4 linked regions of the Nothobranchius furzeri genome follow. The protein of the gene in region 4 binds, or shares a complex with, the protein of the main gene of each other region. Links are inferred from orthologs where the notes say so. Each region holds a gene or a part of one and is shown on either strand. Other genes may lie near its edges.

The links.
Region 1: cmc1 (region 4) and timm21 share a complex: the UniProt entries of both Homo sapiens proteins name them as parts of the MITRAC (mitochondrial translation regulation assembly intermediate of cytochrome c oxidase complex) complex. The link is inferred for Nothobranchius furzeri from reciprocal best matches to the Homo sapiens genes CMC1 and TIMM21.
Region 2: cmc1 (region 4) and surf1 share a complex: the UniProt entries of both Homo sapiens proteins name them as parts of the MITRAC (mitochondrial translation regulation assembly intermediate of cytochrome c oxidase complex) complex. The link is inferred for Nothobranchius furzeri from reciprocal best matches to the Homo sapiens genes CMC1 and SURF1.
Region 3: cmc1 (region 4) and smim20 share a complex: the UniProt entries of both Homo sapiens proteins name them as parts of the MITRAC (mitochondrial translation regulation assembly intermediate of cytochrome c oxidase complex) complex. The link is inferred for Nothobranchius furzeri from reciprocal best matches to the Homo sapiens genes CMC1 and SMIM20.

What each region holds. Positions count from the first base shown.
Region 1 is NC_091747.1:54,073,295-54,076,507, reverse strand, and holds timm21 (mitochondrial import inner membrane translocase subunit Tim21), read right to left. Parts: upstream 2,056-3,213; 5' UTR 1,867-2,055; coding exon 1,575-1,866; intron 1,453-1,574; coding exon 1,390-1,452; intron 1,284-1,389; coding exon 1,186-1,283; intron 1,102-1,185; coding exon 1,028-1,101; intron 950-1,027; coding exon 844-949; intron 719-843; coding exon 626-718; 3' UTR 563-625; downstream 1-562. UniProt on the Homo sapiens protein: Participates in the translocation of transit peptide-containing proteins across the mitochondrial inner membrane.
Region 2 is NC_091746.1:62,108,747-62,112,903, forward strand, and holds the start of surf1 (surfeit locus protein 1), read right to left. Parts: upstream 2,812-4,157; 5' UTR 2,713-2,811; coding exon 2,650-2,712; intron 2,546-2,649; coding exon 2,488-2,545; intron 2,169-2,487; coding exon 2,041-2,168; intron 1,956-2,040; coding exon 1,873-1,955; intron 1-1,872. Other genes in the region: surf6 (surfeit locus protein 6), read left to right, coding at 2,944-3,034, 3,598-3,792. UniProt on the Homo sapiens protein: Component of the MITRAC (mitochondrial translation regulation assembly intermediate of cytochrome c oxidase complex) complex, that regulates cytochrome c oxidase assembly.
Region 3 is NC_091742.1:58,395,956-58,400,198, reverse strand, and holds the start of smim20 (small integral membrane protein 20), read left to right. Parts: upstream 1-1,430; 5' UTR 1,431-1,523; coding exon 1,524-1,632; intron 1,633-1,885; coding exon 1,886-1,942; intron 1,943-4,243. Other genes in the region: man2b2 (epididymis-specific alpha-mannosidase), read right to left, coding at 526-672, 827-967.
Region 4 is NC_091745.1:45,960,904-45,964,946, forward strand, and holds the start of cmc1 (COX assembly mitochondrial protein homolog), read right to left. Parts: upstream 2,845-4,043; 5' UTR 2,714-2,844; coding exon 2,695-2,713; intron 2,392-2,694; coding exon 2,299-2,391; intron 1-2,298. UniProt on the Homo sapiens protein: Component of the MITRAC (mitochondrial translation regulation assembly intermediate of cytochrome c oxidase complex) complex, that regulates cytochrome c oxidase assembly.

The sequences.
Region 1 (3,213 bases), on a different chromosome or scaffold from region 4:
GGCAGCTCTGCCAAAGCTTGGTCATTCGGGAGGGGCTCGAAGTAGACCCGCTGCTCCTCCACATCGAGAGGAGCCAGTTGAGGTGGCTCGGGTATCTGGTCAGGATGCCTCCTGGACGCCTCCCTGGTGAGGTTTTCCGGGCACGTACAACCGGGAGGAGACCTAAAGGTAGACCCAGGACACGGTGGAGTGACTATGTCTCTCACCTGGCCAGGGAACGCCTTGGGATTCCCCCGGAGGAGCTGGCCAAAGTGGTTGGGGAGAGGGAAGTCTGGGCCTCTCGCCTTAGGCTACTGCCCCCGCGACCCGACTCCGGATAAGCGGATGAAAATGGATGGATGGATCTATTTTTTGAAAGTAGATAAATGTTGCAAAAAGAAATGCCCAAAATTTTTAATTTAGTCAAGCAGAAGAGTCCGCGTTTATTTAAAAAGAAAGCCCCCCTGAAGGACACTTTAGGACAGATCAGCAATAAAGAGGGGTCAAAAGGTCTAAAGCAGGGACACAAACTGGACTTTGTTGAGTCATTTAACACATTAGTTTCAAATTAAAAAGGACAAGATTGTAATCCAGTGACCAGTGCCTTGTTTATTTAAATAATGCAGATTGTGAACAGCAGGGGTTCTCATCTGTTGTCCTCTATGATGATGCTCCGTTTGGGGTAGGTATCTAGATCCACGAATATATAACGAAATTCATATTTCCCCGTTTCTGGGTTCTGAAGTAAGAAACCAAAGACAACAAATCAAAAGACAATGGATGCAGTTTTCCTCTCAGCTCTTAGTATTTGATACCAGCTATTATAAAATGGATATTGTGTGAGCAGATCAGAAACCTACACACCTCCTTCGACTCTGAATGAACAGTTCCTTTCAGGCCTGGCTCGGAGCCTTCAATGTAAAACTTCAGTCTCAAGTGCTTCAGTCCATCCTTCAGATACTCCAGATGACTGAGGCGAAAACAAAAACAGATTAAAAAACAGCATAATCCCAAATAAACACAGTTTTATGCCTAGTTTAGTTTGTACCTGAGATGCTGCCTCCTTCCTCTGCGGGTGGTCTCACCGTAGCACTTGATTGGCTCGCCAAATGCCCCGATTACCTGCACTTTCAAATCAAAAACAGCACCGTGCATGTAACTTTATACTGAAAAGAGCCAAAAGAGTAAATCATTTGTCATTCTCACCTCTGGGTGTGACCTGACTTTATCAAAAGCTTTTGCGTAGACTTTATTTGGGCTTTTGGACGAAAACAGCTCCTGGAAAACCACATACAGCAGTCCACCTAAACACAAACGCACACATTTTTATTTATTTTGACAGCAGCGGGTAAGATCAAATTAAATATGCTGCTAATCACACGTTTGTTTCTGCAGTCTGGCTACTCTCACCTGTCACTCCCAGTCCGATGATCACAACTATCAGGTAGGTGAAGTCTTTACCAGCTTCTTTTACTGGAAGACACCCACAATGAGACTTTAGTAAACAACAGCATGCAGTAATTGGCATAAACTAACCCTAACCTACAGCATTTTGTACCGTGCTGCATAGCAACATAGCGTTAGCATTAGCTTACTCTTCTGGGAAGCTGAAGCTTTGGGGCTTGCGCGCTGATACCTGGACACCGCCGCTTTGTTCTCGTCCTCTGGCCTGCTCCTGTTTCTGGCTGAACAGTGGAGCGGTCTCACAGCCACACGGAGACAACTCAGCGCAGACAGAGGACTATCTGTCCCGAGAAGGACCAGTCCTGGTGTTGTGGACAAAGTCCTGCGCGCGTGAGCTAACAGTCGCAACTGACATGTTTGCGCTGCCGCTGTGTGTTGCAGACTTCGGTGTAACAAGGCTTTTAAAGGGTGAAGATACGCCATTATTGTCAATAAACCCACATTGAGGTGAACGGCAGTACAAACTACAGCGGCTGGCCTACTATAGTGTATAATTATGTCACCGTGACGTTTAATTATAGAACATTAATCGGCTAATGTCACACAAACAAAGCTGGTTTAGGTCGCACCAATATGGCGTAGCTTCTTCTTTGTTGTCTTTATTAGGAGTAAACAAATCAGCTTGGACTACCTCCACCTACCGGACAAAAACGAAACAACAAGCTTGCAATACCAGGAACATTTCCCCCCATTTGTTATGGTGGCTCTTGTGTAAATCCTTGTGAGTCGTTTTCTGTGAAGAAAAAAGTAAAACATTTGCTCTTCTGTTTCAGTAAGTAGAAGTTAGATGGAGCAGAGATCTGAAATGTTCAGCTAGCTGCTAATATTTCCTGCTTTAGCTCATTGATTCCATCTGGTTAAACACAGATACATTAGATATATTTATTGAGTTTTAGTAGTTAAGTAGTTTGAATAAGAGAAGATGTTCTGGCTTTCTCATTATCTGGACTAAACTATGCTATGTTTTATTTTGAAAGAACATACAGGAAGTAATAATGAGTATGGTCTTGTTTAGCTTTATTAACATTGACTGTAGTAACAGTTTTTGTCTTCCAGAGGACGGAAATATCCTTAATCTTAAAAGCCATAGACTGAAGGACTGAGTTCGATCTACATGATGCAGGAAACGTTCACATCCTGGTACTTCTGAGAAGAATTTACAGGAAGTGTACTAATTATTGTAACTTTACAAGTGCAGTTCCCCATTCTCCTCTTCCCTTTCCTCATTTAATCAATACATTTGCAGTAGTCTCTAGTAGGAATAAACATCTCGTGTGTCATACTCTGGGGAAAGAAAACACCGGCGCACCATTTTCAGGAACTAGAAGTGAGCCACATCAGAGCTGAGCTTCAAACGGCGGCTTTTCCGGAACTGCGCTGCTCTGGGTGGCTGCATGTTGGAGTAGCTCTGTTGACTATATGTAAGTTTTGTCTTTTCTTGGGCATTTTTTCTTATAGTTTCTCAAGAAAAACTGTATTTTTTGGACACTTTACTTTTCTGTTTCTGGTGCTGTGAAGCTTGGAGGATTTTTACTGCTATTTCTTTTAGCTTTTTTCACTTTTTGAGCATTTGTTATGATGCATAACCATGGCAACAAGCTGGTTTACAATCGATAGCAGCTGATTAACATTGGAAAGGCTGAAATAATACCTCAACTGAAGCCACAAATCCCAAATGAGCTAAAACGCAAGAAGCGTGGGTGCAGAGCGGGAGCAAAACGGAGATGGAGAAAGAGGAAATTCAAACCATCTCTTCCATCGATCATAATG
Region 2 (4,157 bases), on a different chromosome or scaffold from region 4:
AGTTCCTGTGGAGTGGCAGACCGGGGTGGTGGTCCCAATTTTTCAATGATAAATGACCCGCACTTGTATAGCGCTTCTAAGGACTCCAACGCGCTTTACGCTACAGTGCATCATTCATCCATTCACACACACATTCACACACTGATGGTGATGGGCTACGATGTAGCCACAGCTGCCCTGGGGCGGACTGACAGAGGCAAGGGGAACCTGGGGGTGTGTTCCAACTATAGGGGGTTTACACTCTTCAGCCTCCCGGGAAAGGTCTACTCCAGGGTGCTGGAGAGGAGGGTCCGGTTGATAGTTGAACCTCAGAGGAGGAGGAGCAATGTGGTTTTTGTCCTGTCCATGGAACTGTGGACCACCTCTTTACCCTTGCTAGGGTGATTAAGGGGTCATGGGAGTTTGCCCAACCAATCCACATGTGTTTTGTGGACTTGAAGAAGGCTTATGACCGTGTCCCCAGAGACACCCTGTGGAGGGCACTCCAGGAGTATGGGGTGGATGGTCTTTTGCTAAGGGCCATTCAGTCCCTGTACCAGAGGAGTGAGGCAGTAAGTCAAACCTGTTCCCAGTGAGGGTTGGACTCCACCAGGGCTGCCCTTTGTCACCGGTCCTGTTCATAACGTTTATGGACAGGATTTCTAGGTGCAGCCGTGGTGTGGAGTGTGTGGAGTTTGGTGGCAGGAGAATCTCCTCTCTGCTTTATGCGGATGATGTGGTCCTCCTAGTTTCATCAGGTTCTGACCTACAGCTCTTGGTGGGGAAGTTCGCAGCCAAGTGTGAAGCGGCTGGGATGAGGATCAGCACCTCCAATTCTGAGACCATGGTTCTCGAGCGGAAAAGAGCGGTTTGCCAACTCTGGGTCGGGAGAGAGGTCCTGCCTCAAGTGGAGGAGTTCAAGTATCTCGGGGTCTTGTTCACAAGTGAGGGAAGGAGGAAGCGGGAGACCGACAGGCGGATTGGGGCAGCTTCTGCAGTGATGCAGACGCTTAACCGGTCTGTTAGTAGTACTTTATTGTTGCTATTATTGTTGTTTTATCAGTTATAATCACATTTAATTTTCCATTTGATCTACTGCCCTGTCCTCGCCTATGGTCATATGATGTCTGGGTAATGACCAAAAGAACAAGATCGTGGATACAAGTGGCCAAAATTAGTTTTCTCCTCGGGGTGGCTGGGCTCAGCCTTACGGGTAGGGTGAGGAGTTCGGACATTCGGGAGAGACTCGGACTAGAGCCGCTGCTCCTCCATATTGAGAGGAGTCAGTTGAGGAGGTTTGGGCATCTAGACAGGATGCCTTCTGGACACCTCCCCGGGGAGGTTTTTCAGGCATGTCCTGCCGGTAGGAGGCCCACTGGTCGACCCAAAACATGTAGGAGAAAGTACATCTGCAAATTGGCCCAGGAATGCCTTGGGGTCCTACCGGAGGAGCTGGTGGAGGTGGCCCAGGAGAGGATGGTCTGGAACTCCCTAGTCGGGATGCTGCCCCCATGACCCGGACCCGGATAGGTGGAAGAAGACGAGACGAAACATCCCAACTGAACCACTTATATCAGTGTACTGAGTTCAGTTCAACCCAGCAGATTGCATAAAGTCACTGACTTGCTGAGTCAGAGACTTTACAGCAATCCTCATACTAAACAAGCATGTAGCGACAGTGGAGAGGAAAACTCCCTTTAGCAGGAAGAAACCTCTAGCAGAACCTGGGTCAGAATGAGCAGCCATCTGTCTGCAGACTAGGGGGTTTGAGACTTTGTTCTGAATTTGTTTAAATTGGTTTTTTTTTTTTCCACAGCTGTCCCCATGTTATATTCGACCTGCGGTAATAGCTGCTCATGATGATTCGTGTCAGAGAGACAAGAGTTTACTCACTCTGGAGGAAGAGGAATTGGCTCTGCTGTGGTCAGTCTATGGAGCTCATTGATTAATCCTAACTTCCACTCCCGTCTTTTAACCTTCATAGTAACAATATTGTTTCAGTCAATAAAATGGAAATCAAACAAATCATTTCAGAACAGAATAATGGAAGACAAGCCATACCTGCCATGTCCCGAGGCCAAAGGTGGTGACGGGGATGAGCAGCAGGAACCATTTGAGGAAAGAGTCTTCGCTTTTCACGGCCTTGGCTGCTGCAGAGCTGCACAGCCGCTGGAAGTCCAAGCACCTGCCTGGAAATAAGAAACTGCAGGTTGATTCTTCATAGATGCACTTTTCACACTTTCATGTAATACTGAAAAATAAATTGTAACAGCATTAACATATTATGTATCTTATATATTATAGGTGCTGTACTTATATATTTAAAATCTACATTAAATTTTAGATATCCTTTTGGAACAAATTCTTCAACTTTCATTTTCTTAAAAATATCCAGGTGAGTGGGTCAGTATTTATGCATGTTTAACTTCTTAAATATGAATATAAAAATACATTTACCGGTAGTTAAAAGCAGGTGATCATCGGTATTAATATAACAACTGTACCTACCGTCTGAACGTTTAATGATTCTGTCCAGGAAGAAAGTCCTCTTGATGTTTATAACATTCTGAAATCACGTGAAACGAAAATAAATTTTTTTTGCATATAATCTTTTTTAGGTGACTGTTAAGACGAATACACTGAATTTATTAGTTATAACTTATAACCAACCTGTTTCCTAGTTGTCGGGAAAAGCCTGGTGGAAAACGTGAGCAGGAATTTGAGCGAAGTCATCCTGAATAAACAAAAACCGTAAAAGGGAGACTAAATAAATTATTTACAAAACCGTCGTTTTGGCTTGCGGGGGGACTAATTCAATGTAACACCTTCCGGTGCAACGGAGACAGTCCTCTTCTCGTTTGTTTTCTTATGCACGTGTTTGCAGCCATGAGCTGATTTTTAGCTCAAAATTATTTAATTGTAAATTTAACAGATTTAGTTGCGGAAAGTAATTAGTCTGAGAACATGGACCTCGCAGCGAAAGACTCGTACATTCAGAAATATGCAAGTAAACTATTTTCTCAGCGAGAGAAGGAGCCGAAGAAGAGACCGTTTGGTAATATTGAACTGCTCTTGGCATATTTACACTTAGCTGTACACGTTTCTGTGTTAAATATCAAAGCGCGCTACATATTTGTATGGCTGATGATAGGTGGGAAAAAACATGAAATGTCTTCAAACCTCAGTTGTTAAAACACAGCTCACCGGAAGGGGGCGCTACATTATTTTCTGCGTGCTGTAGATGTTTGCTTTTTCCCACACACAACATACTGGAATTATTTATAGAGCCATATTTTGGAAAATGTTTTTATGCTAATGTTTTTCTTTCTTTTAGTAGATTATATATATATATATATATGGATGCAAAGATTAGTTAGCCTATTTTATCTGAACTTATTCTTTGCACAAGACATTTTTGTTTCTGTTAGAATTTTTTTTGCTTGCCCTCCAGATGAAAGAAAGCAGATAGACTTGATTATTTTTGGTATCATTTTTATTTTTATAAAACGTGACGGTCAGAATCTCATCTGACCTGGCTTTGCTCCATCGTGTCTTTGGAATCAGCTTGTTATACCATATCTGAGCATGGAATTGTTATCTCATGTTTCTTTTCATTAGTTCATTTCAAGAGTAAGAGTGACACCGATCCTTCAAAGAAGAAGAAGAAGAAATTAAAGAATAATTCTACAGATGCATTAGCCAAGAAACCTCCCAAACACCAACAAAAGTCTTCTCCAGGAGCTCAGAAAAGCCTTGCAGCAGCAAAATCACAAACTCAGAGCACCACTGTCACTACAACACAACCATCTAAAGGTGAGCAACACACTGCAGATTCATGAGGGTGTCGGCTTAGTTAAAGCAGCTTTCCGGAGTTTTCCTCTTTCAGAAATTACGTATGATTTGTCAGAAAATCGTAAAAGTGATCATCTTATGTACTGTGATATAATGTAAGCAATACGTCTTTTTAATTAATTAATTAATTTTTTTGTTGAGCACGCCCCCTGTCCGACAGAGCTCCGTGCAATAGGAAACTGAGCGCGACCAGAACTAACTAATAGTGTTAGAATGCCGCTTAGACACTTCAAATTTAAGGAATACCTCGGCTGATGCAGAGCTGATAAACTTTTCACGGACAAGAACGTCTCTAAAATATAAATATATGAAAATACAACATGACA
Region 3 (4,243 bases), on a different chromosome or scaffold from region 4:
ATACAGAACTCCGGCTTCTTTTTTAACAGTTTTAGAGGCAAACGACAAGAGCTGCTGGTCATCAGAGCAGCATTCCTGTTGCATATGGATGATGCAACCAGTCACAACATGGAATGTTGAATTTCCAACTTCCTTACATTCTTGGAATGAAAAAAGGGCGCGACCACCACATAGTTCTGTCCTAACCTTTACTGGAACTGAAAGTGTTGAAAAGTAACCCAAACATAAAGATAAGTGCTCCGCAGAGGATAAAAGTGCATGAATTATTTAAAAACAAACAATGTAGTACCACTAAACTGCACCTCCCCACGGCTCACGCCCCCACTAGTTAAAGCAAACAGGGGCAAATGTATGTACCCATAAATAAAGATTGTCTTATTTTGGTGTTTTTGATTCAAGAAAACTAAAATGGGATCATAATGTGTGTCTTTCCTGGTAACTAAGCCCCCAAGAATGAAAATTTCAGCTGATATTTTCATTGATGAATGCAGACACAATCATCTGACTAAAGAACTGAGTTCTTACTTGTTTCTTTAGGGAGTCTGAGGCGACAGTGTCCCACCACAGGCGAAAGAACTCCTGTTCCACAGCGATGAACCTTCGATCTTTGTACTTTGACAGCTCCTGGGTCACACTGGTGTACACGTTAGCTGCATAGGCATGCATGCTCTCCTGCAAAACACACACACACACACACACACACACACACACACACACACACACACACACACACACACACACACACATACACACACGCACGCACGCACGCACGTTTAGAGGGGAAAACACACATATTCATTTGGAATTCAAGATCACCCTCCACTACCTGAATGGTGTAAACCCAGCCAACATCCATGTGACTGTGAGGAATGACAAACGTTTGAATGGGCTGATCCTCAGCTGTCGATTCATGTGAACAAAATAAACAAAAACACACAAAAACTGTAAAAAACATATTTTTTTCCATCCTGAAAATGAGAAAATTCGTTCGACAAAATCCACCAGCTTCACTTCCTTATCATGTTGTTGTTTAGAATGACTGGCATTTCATACGGAAGCCCTGGTAGCCCAAAAGAAGTGACGCGAGTGACGTTCAACACTGGTGTTACATTCAAATGCGCCCCCTATTGTGTTTAAATCATGCCCATGCTATTTCACACTTATATAGTTCAAAATAATTTTAAAAAACTGCTATAAGGAAAAATCTTCATAAGTTATTTTTAAACAAATTTTAGCAAGTAGCAAACTGAAATAAAACAAAAAAATCTCAGTGTTCAGTTGGATAATAAGCTCACACATATCAAATAAATGAACTTATCTCATATTGTCAAAGACAATTTTGTTCTTTGAAGCTAAAATGTGTAAAAGTTAGCAAGACGGAAAATATTTTGATGTCTAGTTTGGGAACATTTTCAGCGGACACATTTCTATGTAGAACATATCATGACGTAATGGCCGGAAGCTGTCGCTGTAAACGCAAGTAAACACGCTTGGAGGTGAGAGACCGCCTCTGATGTAAGAAAATGTCCAAAAACGCTAAAATAGTGTTAATATTCGGAGGCTTCGTTACGGCGGTGGCCGCTGCGTTTTACCCCATATTTTTTTATCCTCTAACACACAAAGACGATTACAGTAAGTGCTTATTTTCCAACACGAGCACTCAACTGCTTCATATTGTGTTTTAACTTGAAATCCAGCAATGCTAAATGTTGTTTGACACGATTGAAACGCTAGCTAACTTTAGCTTGTTTACCACTGACTTTCTATGACAGAGTTTTTAATCCCGTAGTGAAGAAATCAAACCAGCAAAAATAAAATAAAAATCTTAACCAACAAATATGTTTTAATATTAATCTTGTGTTCTGTGTTTCTGTGATTTTGCCAGGAGAAGTCCAAAAGGTAAACCGGGCAGGAATTAACCAGGCAGATGTGCAGCCAGTTGGTAAGAACTAATAATAAAACAAAAATCAGCAATAGTGATCGGCTGTTATCTGGGTCACTCCATTCCCTCAGACTCTACCCAGCTGTTGCCGCCATTACTTTCTGTTATTTATCTGTATATTCAGTGTTTTGATACAAAAAGTAGATTTATCTCCCATTTAATTAAATTCCAACCCTTAAATCACTTTCAGCTTTTTTCAACTAACAAAATCAATTTATTAAAATGTACCCTTAAAGCTCATTATCTTAAATTTTAATTATTATTTTTATTTATCTCACTTATCCGTGGGTCCAAGGCATTTTCTAGGACTGTAAGAAGTTCAACTTCTTTTTTGTAGAGCTCGTTCTGCCCTTCAGTTAGTCTTTCATAAAACTGCATTCATAAACTCTGTTTTTCTGTCAATAAGGGGTTCTGTGTGTACAATGAGAAAAAAATGAATGTATTGTTTTCCACAAAAACTGCAATATAAGAGGAAGAAGAAGAAAATATAATTTCTATAGTGCCTCTGAAGATAAAAATCATGAGGTGCTTCACATAAACAAAAAATGTAAAAATATCAAAAAGAATTTAGAAAATTGTTAAAATATATTTAAAATTAGCAAAAAAATAATAGACAATTGTGATTAGAAAATGTAAAGAGAGAGAGTGAATAGGAAAGAGGGAAATCAGTGGATCCTGAGGAAAGTGGAATAGGTGGGGAGAGCAGAATAAAGAGAGAGTGGTGAAGAAGGTCATGCAAAAGCCACTTTGAACAGCTGATTCTTCAGCTGCTTTTTGAAGGAGACCACTGAGTCCACTGATCTCAGGCTCAGGGGGAGAGAGTTCCAGAGTCTGGGGGGCCACAGCAGCAGATGATCTGTCACCTTTGGTCTTTAGCCTGGTGCTGCACAACCAGTAGGCTTTGATCACTGGCCTCAGGGACCTGCTGGGGGTGTAGGGACTAAGAAGATCACCAATGTAAGATGGTGCTTGTTCATGTAAGGCCCTGTAGACCTGAACCAGGATCTTGAAATGAACCCTGAAGTTGACTGGCAGCCAGTGAAGCTGGAGGAGAAGCGGGGTGATGTGGGTGTGTTTGGAGGACTTGGTCAGAAGCCGAGCACAGGCATTCTGAACCACCTGTAGACGGTTCAGGGAGGTTCTGCTCAGACACGTGAAAAGAGAGTTACAGTAGTCTAAGCGTGAGGAGATGAAGGTGGGGGTAACGATCTCAAGTTCAGAGTGGGACAGAATGGGACTCAGCTTAGCAACGTGCCTGAGATGGAAGAAGGAAGAGCGAACAAGAGAACTGACATGAGAATCCAGGGTGAGAGCTGGGTCAAAGGTCACGCCAAGATTCCTGACGGAAGGTTTGGTGTGGGAAGCAAGCTGACCAAGAGAGTCTCTGACTTTGGGAACCAGCTTGTCTGGGGCACAGATGAGGATATCAGTCTTATCTTCATTCAGCTGTAGAAAGCTCCCAGCCATCCAGGTTTTGATAGAGTCTAAGTAGGTGTGTAACATCTGCAGCTTAGACATCTCATGGGGCTTAAAGGAGATGTACAGCTGGATGTCATCTGCATAAAGATGGTAGGAGATTCCTTTGAAGGAGCTCAGGATGTGCTGAAGAGGAAGCAGATAGAAGAGGAAGAGCAGAGGCCCCAGCACAGAACCTTGTGGGACACCATGGGTAAGAGAGGTGGTGGAGGACCTAAACTTGGAGACGGCCACAGAGAAGGAGCGCTCAGAGAGATAAGAGCCACTCCAGAGCAGTTCCTTGATATAATAAAGTAGGGCTGCAACAACGAATCGATGAATTCGATGAAAATCGATTACTAAAAGCGTTGGCAACGAATTGCGTCATCGATTCGTTGTGTCGCACAACTCTTCCAAAAGCGCCCCCCCTTCCCGCCCACCGTTGCGCGCAGACAGATCAGCGCGAGAGAGAGCCGGCAGTTGTTTGGAAGAGGAACATGACAGAAGCAGCGAGAGTCAAAAAAGTAAAAGCTTTTTAAGTTTGGGAGCATTTTCAGTTAAATCAGGCGAAGACATGCGTTACCTGCAACGTTTAGGTCAGACTGGGATGCACGGGATGATGCAGCGTCTTAAACGCAAGCATGTCGGGATCATCAGCGAGGAAGGAGAGAACTCTGTGTCCGGGTAAATTAAAAACTTTTCAAAAGTGATTCATCCAAGTCCCGGATTATTACACAGGCTAGACATGCCCTAAATTCGTAAAAAAAGAGTCTAAAGTCGTGAGCGCGACGCTTATTAGATGAGCGGGGGGACTCGCACTGCTGCGAACCGGTTCCGCCCAAGGCC
Region 4 (4,043 bases):
TCGCCTCGGTAAGTTTGCCTCTTGTTAGCTGCTAACATAAGAGTAGCAACACCAGTAGCGGTGGCGAATCCCTTTAGATACCTTTAGAACACGTTTGTATGTCACGTATTTTTGCTCTAATTACAAACACTAATGATTCATTTTATCCCGCTACGTTACAGTGTTAATAAAAGTGCTCCTCTTCAACGGACGAGTTTGTTACGTGCACACCTCAGCAAGCCAACGTCCTGACTGATGCCGTTGTGAGCATGATGGTCACGAGACTCCTGTCCATGGTTGCTGATCAATGTTTCAGATGATCAAGCAGCTCAACCTAGGATACCACGACTACTACCTGACTGATCCCATTTCACCACCATGATGGAAAAGAAATATGAAACAACCTTTAAGGTGTGTGTGTGTGTGTGTGTGTGTGTGTGTGTGTGTGTGTGTGTGTGTGTGTGTGTGTGTGTGTGTGTGTGTGTGTGTGTGTGTGTGTGTGTGTGTGTGTGTGCACGACGCGTGATGCATCTTTGCCTCTGTTTCGCTCTGGACACAAATAAAATAAACATTAGAATAATGCATTTTATGATAAAAGGAAAAAGGTTGCTGACTGAACAATCAAGAAACTAATATTTTTTAAAGCATAAAACATTTTCTTTGTGTTAAATGTTAACCTACGTTATTTGATATAACAGAATTATTAATTTGGTAAATAAACTAACTTTAATATCTTATCTTTACGGTAAAGCAGACTATCAGAGCTGTCGACGGTCCCTGACTGCTGACATGTGGACCAGCCATGCTACAGAGGCGTACCTTGGTGTTTCCTGTCTTTTCCTGAGTTAAGATTGGAAGATGAAGCGCTTCAACCTTGCCACCATGCCTCTTGTGAACACAAGTCTTTTTGTGTACAATTAATTTTTGGTTTAGGTGCCTACCTCCATCTGACTGTGGCATTTGTTTAAACACGTTACAAAGTTAATTAAGCTGATCACACTTCACACTAGAAGCTAATGATGGGATATATTAGAGCTTCCTGGTGCAATGAACTGAACTTTTATGAATGACACGATTAGTCTACTAATTGTCAACAAAACTTGCGACTAGTCGACTACTAAAATAGTCCTTTGTGGCAGCCCTAATTGCAACATTACTAATTTTCATAGGAAAGCAGGCCGGTGATGGCACAGACTTCCTGGTAAGCTACAATAGACACTTCAAGTGGTTTTAAAGTCTATAACACCTTTAAAGCAAAGAAATAAAGAGCATGCATGTACACAGGATTAAAGGGATATTCAATAAATGAGCATAAACCCATTTTACAAGAAAGATAATGACCTGATTAATAAAAAACTAATACACAGATCAGCTAATACAAAATCAACCCTGTGCATCACATTTAGACTTTAAATGTTGTCATTTTAGTCACCAGATTTACCCAATAAGACATTCATTATTCAGGGAAATCCTCTGAATTTATTCTATTTAAAGACTGCTGGATTTTAGCCCCAAAAAGTATTTTATTTTTCTGGAACAATTGTTGGGTCAATAATTGCTTCCATCTAAACAAAGAAAACTATAAATACACTTAAAAACTTCAACATGATCTACTCTGAGCGATTCAAAAACAGTAGGAACAATAGTAAATCTAAAAAAGTATGTGTGGATTGTGTAGATTTTAGACTTTTAGAACATCAGAACTATAAATTCATTTGATAACATACAATGTGTTGTGTATGATGCAGTATTGTGTATGTAGTTACAGAAAACTGTTATTTTATTGATGTTAGTTCTAACAGTTAGTCTCTTGGCATATCTGTCTCACGCATTAGCAAGAACTTGGGATGTTCGATGGCACATTTATTAGGGCTGTGTCCAAACAACATGTCAGCAAACCCAGTTTAAGACTTCACAAAAATAATGGAGAAGCACAAATTATATTTTTGTCCATGAAAACCTACAAAGAACCATGTGCACCATATGTAGTCTGCAAGTGAGTTTTAAAACACACTTGTGAACAAAATTACTGTGGTCCAACATTTTGGAAAAATAACTGATGCAGATTAAGCCAATGGACACATGAATATGAACAGGACACTAACCTAATGGCAGCTAGCATGTGCTGCAGGAGTTCTCAAGTACTGCCTTGCCTTGTAAAATAGTTTGTTCATTTTGCAGCATTCCCTTTGCCCTGAGAGTAAAAAGGTGAGAAAATACATTTTTTGGGCCTACAAATTCCAACTTTCTACAGACTGTTGCGGTTCGACATGATGATGTTATCAGTTCATTTTTCATAGCCTACTCCTAAACACAGACCTTCAACCTTGTCCGCACAGCGCTCCTTAGCTTTCTCCCTCATCATCTTGGGAATCAGCACGTCCTTCTCCACATGCCTTAGATGGATTTCCTCTAAGGAGAAAAGACCCAAAGTTACCGTTTCTCTTTATTATCAGCTGCACTGATGTATCCATACGGTTATTATCAGTGACTATTAAATATGTAGATTCATAAGCAGCAGCGAACGACTAAACAACTTAATGCACATAAGTGGACAGAGTTGTCATGTACTACAGCATGGATGGACTACTTCACCACTTAGAGCCAGTTTCACCTATTTCTGCTTACAATTACGCACGAGCTAACGTAACTACCTAGCAACCATTACGATTATAAAACACCCGCAGCATCAAAGGTGAGTCTAACGCCCATTACCTGTGTTCGTAGCCTCCATTATTCGGTGGAGTTTCTCAAAACATTACAAAACCGAACCAATGTGACCTAGTGCACATACGCTCAAATCACTTCCGCTGACGTAAGAGGCAGCTTTAAAAACTACAAGTCCCATCAAGACACACCGACCCAACCAAAGTGATTCTGCTAGCATTGACCTCATAATAGCCATGGCTGTAGTTTACATGTCGTTTTTATTTATTCAGTTAAATTTTATTTATTCAGTTTATTTATTCAGTTATTCAGTTTATTATTCAGTTAATTATTGTTTCATATATATATATATATATATATATTTTTTTTTTTTTTTTTTTCAGTTGCGGGCGGTGCGTTCCACCCCTGGGCCTTCAGTGATTTCCTATTCAGTCCAATCTAATTTAATACACCTAAAATACCATCAATAGGACATCACAGCTGGAGAAACCTCACACACACACACACACACACACACACACACACACACACACACACACACACACACACACACACACACACACACACACACACACACACACACACACACACCAGTGGCTGGTCAAGACACATAATTTCCAGAGTCTTTAAAATCAAACTCGCATTCCCAGTTGAGAGTAGGAAGCTGACCACGGATACCGTCAAATCTCAGAAATGAAAGACGGGTTTAAGAGATGAGACAATAAAATAAATAAGTAAAGCAAACACATTATTTGCATTTGTTTTGGAGAAAATGGCACCGCGAAACAATTGAACATGTTGGCGCAGCTGCACACACCACGTCATTCACAATATAAATTGCATAGAAACAGAACACAGAATAATTTCATTTTGCCATTTTATTTCGTTACCATTTATTGATTATTAACAAAATAAAATGACAAAACAGTAAAAAATACTAATAAAATGTTTCTACTCACCAACATAAATGTCCAGCATGGTTCTCCTCCTCTCCTGCTCATTAGAAAATAAAATCCATCCTTTCTTTCCTCAGGGAAACCTCAATGGCTCTGTACAGTTTATCTGTGCGCTTCAGGTCCATGAGTGGATCCTTTTCTATGGACATGGAGGCTAATGCTGAAAGACATGTCTGCCCGGTCGTGTTTCTGGCGTACGCGTTTTAACGCGCTTTAATGCTACCAAATCCATCTGATGCGAGCAACGGGCATTCCCAGCAGAATAACCTGCAGCGGTTCTCTGAAGCTGTTTGCCATGGGTACCGTTCATAGTTGCTTGCCTGAAAATGACGAACAAATCCTTTCCCCTGCTGGGACAAGCCAGCTAGCGTTGGAGTCGGACGACCTGTTCTCACAAGATCCACTTTTTCTTGAAAGGTCCGTCTTGAAAATGGTGTGGCA